2 linked regions of the Cricetulus griseus genome follow. The main gene of each other region encodes a partner of the protein of the gene in region 2 in a complex. Links are inferred from orthologs where the notes say so. Each region holds a gene or a part of one and is shown on either strand. Other genes may lie near its edges.

The links.
Region 1: the proteins of Sctr (region 2) and Sct are in contact, whole or in part, in a cryo-EM structure (PDB 6WZG), measured with the Homo sapiens proteins. The link is inferred for Cricetulus griseus from reciprocal best matches to the Homo sapiens genes SCTR and SCT. Residues at the interface, in NP_002971.2 of Homo sapiens: Arg30, Leu31, Cys32, Leu35, Asp71, Asn72, Pro117, Val125, Val127, Asn128, Asp129, Asn132, Arg135, His136, Leu139, Leu140, Leu142, Lys143, Tyr146, Tyr150, Arg188, Asn192, Lys195, Leu199, Phe200, Ser202, Asp203, Val205, Met219, Phe222; in NP_068739.1 of Homo sapiens: His28, Ser29, Asp30, Gly31, Thr32, Phe33, Thr34, Ser35, Glu36, Leu37, Ser38, Arg39, Leu40, Arg41, Glu42, Arg45, Leu46, Gln47, Arg48, Leu49, Leu50, Leu53, Val54.

The regions. Positions count from the first base shown.
Region 1 is NC_048596.1:59,906,806-59,909,156, reverse strand, and holds Sct (secretin), read right to left. Parts: upstream 1,310-2,351; coding exon 1,227-1,309; intron 1,135-1,226; coding exon 1,033-1,134; intron 906-1,032; coding exon 801-905; intron 684-800; coding exon 575-683; downstream 1-574. UniProt on the Homo sapiens protein: Hormone involved in different processes, such as regulation of the pH of the duodenal content, food intake and water homeostasis.
Region 2 is NC_048598.1:68,524,864-68,528,779, reverse strand, and holds the start of Sctr (secretin receptor), read left to right. Parts: upstream 1-1,527; coding exon 1,528-1,544; intron 1,545-2,711; coding exon 2,712-2,907; intron 2,908-3,916.

The sequences.
Region 1 (2,351 bases), on a different chromosome or scaffold from region 2:
ATCATCACTCTGGGCCTCTTCGGAGCTGCTCTGGATGCCTGAGTCTCCAGACCTCTGTCAGGATTAAGTACTTTGTCTCATGACCCTTCAGTGGTCCCACAGCTGTCTACTGGGAGATGACATCACTATCCAGGCTCAGGATTGTGCCAAGACCACATAGACATGCAGGCAGGTCCTTCCACTCACAAGTAAAGCCTATCTGTCCTGCCTGGGCCTCTTCGTTACTCTAAGCACCCCGACCACATGGCTGAACCAGGGCTGGGATCCCTGGGATCCCAGGGCAGGGTGGGACACTGGGGAGTTCAACTGGGGAAAGAGGAGTACAGTTGATGTTGGAGATAAGGAAGAAATGTCTTAGCTGACCTCCCAAGTTCAAAGGGCAGCTGGGTGTGGTCCTAGCCATTGTATGAGGTTGACGGAACTGTCCACACCTGCCAAGCTCACTGAGCAGGGGTTGCCTTGATTTTATAAGACATCACCACACCATGAGCTAAAAGACCAGGGTCTAAATTCCTTCTTTATTGATACCAAGGACAACCAAACCCTGGCTCCAGCCAGGCCCCTTCCTCCCTCATCAGGGCTGCCTGGTTGCTTCAGTCCACTCTGAAACATCGACGGCAGGCTTTGGTCCAGGAGGCAGCCAGGGAGACCAGGACCCATCCAGGGGAAGCCTGGGGAGAAGCCTGTGGAGGGAGATAGGTGGTCAGGGGATTAGAAGTGACCATTAGAGCGCACGCTCCCACGTGGCGAGGGAACAGGAAAGGGTGCTTTAGGAGTCCAGCTGAGGGTGGAATGCTCACCAGTCCTGTAGGGCCTGAGTGTTCGACCACAGCAAGCAGAGCTGGTCCTCTGAAGGCTTGGACCGGGCCAGGCTGTTCTCTGGGATACTTTCTGTGTCCTGCTCACTGCCCCCCACCCCAGCCCAATTTAGAATTAGTGGTAGTATTGGGATGTGGCAGGTTGCTGATAGGGGACCATGCCAGGCCTGTCCCATACCAGCAAGTCTGGAGAGTTCTACCTCAGGCTGCTCACCTGCGCTTCCCCACCAGACCCTGCAGCAGGCGCTGCAGCCTGGCGCTGTCCTGCAGGCGGCTGAGCTCGCTGGTGAACGTCCCGTCTGAGTGCCTTGGGATCCTGGGGAGAGGCGGCGTGAGGGGGCTCAGAGTACGACCAAATGGGCCTGTGGGCGTGGCCGTGGTGAAGTGGAGTCCCCCTACCCAGCTCACCTGGGGGGCGCAGGGAGCGCGGCGGAGCCCACGAGCAGCAACAGCAGCAGCAGTAGCGGCGGTGTGGGCAGTGGAGGCTCCATGGTCCGGCTCTGTGTGTGCAACTGCAGCCTGAGCCCCGCGCCCCTGCTTTATAGCTGCCCCTGCGGCAGGCAGGGGGCTCCGGCACCGCCCCGGCTCCGCGCGGCCGGCCGCGCCCCATCGATTGCTGGAAGGTCAGGGCCGCCCCCCCAGCTGTCGTCCGGCCACCTCCTGTCCCCACCGCCGTGTTGGCGCCCCTCAGCTGGCTGGGCGTGGGGAGTAGAGGGGTAATGCTACCAGGTAGCGAAATGGACACCTCCATCTGGGACCAGGGGCAGGGAACAGGGTATGGCAGTTCAGACAGGCAGAGGGAACCGCACTGCCAGGCCTCTAGAGCCTCAGTTCATATTGGCGCCTGGCCTAGACCTAGACCCTGGAGCACTCTTCCTCAGAAGGGGGAAAGGAGGCCAGAGTCCTAGCAGCCCAAGGGAGACAGATGCAGAGAAGTGCCTGTAAGGTCAGCCCAGCATCCGAAGCAAAAATGGGAATCCTCTTAGGCCCCGAGGTTGCATTTTTTGGATGGAAGAAAACAGCCTATTCATGTTGGAAGCAGAAAGCAGAGATGGGTTAGAAAAAGAGAAAAGCAGGCCATGGAGGTTGTAGGGGAGTGGGGAGGAGGAGTTATGAATGGGGATTGATGACAGATAGGCTTGCAAAACATCTTCATCCCCGGAGTCCGGAACCTTAGTGGTAGAACACTTGTTTAGCGTGCACCAGGACCTGAGTTCCATGCAGCACCGGAACCCAAACCGGAAAGACAAATCAAATTACAAACCTAACAAACAGTTATGAACTAGCTCTTGAGTAAAAATCGTGTGTTTTTTTTTGTTATTGGGAATGTTTTATTTGGCTTGGTTTTTGGAGACAGAGTACATAGCTCAGGCTGCCTTTGAACTCACTATGTAGCCCATATTGGTCTGGAACCCTCAGCAATCTCCTTGCCTTACCCTCTCAAAAGCAGAGATTGCAACCACGGGTCACCAAGTCCAGTTCTGCTTGTATTTTGGGGGGAGGGGTTAGGTTTGAGCTTTGGAGTTTTTTGCT
Region 2 (3,916 bases):
TTGTCAAATAATGTAAATTCTCTACCAAGTCTTTTCCTTGCTGTGAGGAAGCAAAAACAAAAACAATGATAAGACATAACTGAAGAAATACTTCTTTAAAGGGGTCTCCAGCCAGCTTGACAAATCCTCGTTACAAAGTGAAGAAAATAAAACAACTTTCTAAATCAGTGTGATGGTTAATGTTATCACCTTGTCAGGCTCTAGAATCACCATGGCAACAAACCTCTGGGCATGTCTGTGAGGGAAATTAGGTTAACTGAGACAGGAAGATGAGCCCGAAAGTGGGCAGCACTGTCCCATGGGCTGGGGTCCCGGACTGGATAAAAAGGAGAAAGTGAGCTGAGCCCCAGCATCCATCTCTCTGCTCCTTGACTGTGGATGCCATGTGACCTGCTGCCTTATGCTCCTGTGTCCATGTCTTCCCCGCCATGATGGACTGTACCCTCAGACCATGAGCCAAGCTAAACTCTTTTACCCTAAGTTGCTTTTGTCAAGGTATTTTATCCCAGCAATAGAAAGAGTGACTAATACATTCAGTCAGCATCAAGTCAGGCTGAATGTGCTGTAATCAGCTCCCTACAAAAGCAACAGAAGTCTCACTCTTTGATACCATCAGGAAGGATGCTCGTTTGTGCACACAGGATTGTGCTTAGTCAAACAAAAGAGGAAACTCCTCAGCCCATATGGACAAGTAGGAAGCTCCAAGCAGTAACCAAACTCCAGAAGAGTGCATGCCTAACATCCACAAAGCCCTGGGTTTGGTCCCTGCAGCACATAAAACCAGGTGTGGTGGAACGTGTCTGTAATCTCAGCATTTAGGATGTGGAGGTAGGAAGACCAGACCTTCAAGGGCATCCTCAGCTATATTGTAGGGAATTAAAGGCAAATCTGGGCTAGAGACACTCTCTCAAAAAGTAAGTACTAGGAGTTGGCCAAGAGGCTTGTTTAGACTTTTAAGGATTTGTATATACTGTAGGGGGACAGAAAGTATTTTAAAAGACATGCTGAAGGAAAAGGGAGAGCAGGAAATATTTCTTTCCCTTTTGGCACTAGGTAAAATTTTCATTGAATTTTTTGTTTCCCGGGGATTGTGTTTACTCTTCTAACCTGCCTCAGTGAGATTCTACATGTATCTGCAAATGGGCTGGGAATATGGTTCAGTCTGTGAGCTGCTTGGTGTGCAAGCATGAGATCTTATAAAAAGTGGGGCCCAGTGGGCTACACATGTTACCCAACATTGAGGAGGCAGAGACAGAGGACACCTGGGGCTCGGTAACCAGCAGTGTAGCCAAATAATGAGCTTCAGGTTCACCAAGAGATCCTACCTCAAAAAGCAAGGGGAGAGTGATTGAAGATGTCACCCACCGCTGATCTACACAAACCTCCACAAAGGCTCACATGCTCACACGGGAGCACAGACTCCCCTGTCTTCAGGATAACTTCAAGACTCTGTTGGGAGAACATAATGAATTTCTAGGGTTCTGATGGTTGGGACTTTGGTTTACATGAAACACTTTCCTGTATAGCATGACTGGGGGAACTGGGTGAGAATTAAGAACTAAGAGGCCATTGGCATAAAAGAATCGTTCCTCTCTTTCACAGGGAGAATGGCATTAAAGCTTGGAGAATGTACAGTTCAGTATTTCACCATAGTGGTCACCATAGTATCTACAGCCTGGCTCTCACACCAAGCAGTGCTCTTTGCTGGGCTGTCTGGGTACTTGCCTAGCATTTGGGAAGCAGTTTGGGGTGTCAAATGTTGCTTAAGGGCCCCTGAGTTAAAAAGCCTTTGTACCTGGGGTGGAACTAGGGAAAGTGGTGATTTCTAGTAAGAGGTCTTTGGTCATATGATCATAAGGGATGTGACCTCACAGGAGACTGCTGGACCCTGACTTCTTTCTCTTTGTCCCCAGGACTCTTTAGCCAGGAAGTTTAGCCCTGAATGCACTCTCAACACTCTGAGCATGGCCGGCTGCTCTGGCACAGGCTCAAAGCAATGGGGCAGCCAGTCATGGACCAGACTACAAGCAAACCAACCTTTTTCTCTTATGCGTGGATTAGCTAGTGTGCTTATTGCAGTGGTGAGCGCTAAATAACAAGAGATTTTATGTTACTTAAGCTGTCCTGTAGGACACAGAAGACATTGACTTCTGTTTGTCTAAACTTCAGCCTGGGAAGAGTTAACTGGTTAGTAGGGATAGCCTAGACCAGCTGTGGGAATCCACATCTGTAATCCCAACACTGGGGAAACTGAGGCAGAAGGTTTGTGAGTTCAAAGGCAGTCTGGGCTATATCGTGAGACTCTGTCTCCATCCTCGTTAGAGGATTAAAAAGAAAAAAAAAAAAGTGTTGCCTACCTTGTCCCTGCTCAAGGCTCATGACTTGTACTTTCTGGTTTGGAGGGGAAAGAGGGAGGTTGTAGCTGCCTCCAGATCGGTAGCTGGGGTCCCTCCCTTTCTCTCCTCCCAGCCAGCCCTGTGCTCTCCCCCCATTCCCTCCCTGCTATTCCCAGCGGGTGGAGTCGTGCGAGCAGTCCTTATCAATGGGCACAGGCCTGTTAGCACTCTTGCTACCTCCTTTAGAGAGCGGCAGTCCCTAGCCTGGCTGTGGATCTGGTCGGATTGGGTAGGTTCAGCCATGGTTTCTCTGGGCTTGGGGGTCGCCCAGGATCCTGGACGCCTTGTAGGACGCTGAGCGGGTCGCCGAAATAGACACCGAACTCCCGAGTGGCCAGAACGCAAAGGCGAACAACAATCGGAGGAGCACTGGCACCATGAGCCTCTGGCTGTCATCGTGGTGGCCACCTTCACTGCTGCTGCTGCTGCTGCTCGCCAGAGCAGCGCACACTGTGAGTACGCGCCCCTCCAGGACGCGGACCCGAGCGACCAGCCCGCGTTCCTCTACTGGGTCCTAGGAATTATGGGGAGCAGTCGATCTCTCCTTGCTTAACAATGGCATCGTTCACTCTGTCGGAGTCCACTTCGGAGTCCCCTTCTCCAAAGGCAAAACATCCTGGGCTCTTTGTCCCAGGTGAGGCAAATCTAGGCTCAGACCCCTCGACCTTCACTCATCCCTTCCGGCCCGCTGAACCCACTTCTTTCCAGCGGCCCCAGCAATGATAAGTGTGCTGCACACTTGCCCTCTAGTGCTTCATCAAAACCCCCTCTGCCCTTTCTGAGACCCGGGTCACTCAGGCTTTACAAGCAAGGACACCAAGGCTCAGAAAAGAGAGGGGGAGGTTTACTCCATGTCAGAAAAAAAAAAGTCAGAACCCACATTCTTCAGGCTAGCAGCCTGACGATTTTACACGCTCCGGGTTGCAGATGAAAAATTTTAGAAAGCGATGAGTAGAGATTTTGCGTCTGTGGTGGGACCATTTTCAGTCCCGTGTGTCGTCCACCTCCCTTCGCCTCCCCCCCCCCGCCCCCCGGGACTGGATTTCTAAAGTCTGTGCCTGTGGGCTCCTGGGAGCAGCGGGTTGCAACAAACTCAGGGCAGGAGAAGAAAGTTGGAGCAGAGAGAAGCCAGGGGGTGGTTTGTGTTTCTTTCCCATAGAAACCCTGGGAACTTTGGGCGGCTTCCCCTGGGATATCTGGAGAGACAGGCTGCATTGAGGCTGGCAGGATGGAAAGAACTGAGGAGAAGGTCAAGGCTTCGGGGTTGAGGACTCCAGGGTTACTCCTCCCGACAAGCTCTGCAGAGTGTGCCCCACTCCCCCCACCCCAGGTATGCGTTCTAAGAAACCACTGGGAATATAGATCCCGAGATGACTGTCTAGGTTAATGACTTAGTTTTCCGTTTCCTGAAGCATCTGTGCAACTCCAGGGCTGCAGGAACAGGCTCAGCTTTCTTTTTTTTTTTTTTTTTTTTTTTTTTTGTCTCGAAGGGATGCTCCTGGTTATTTCAGGAATAAACA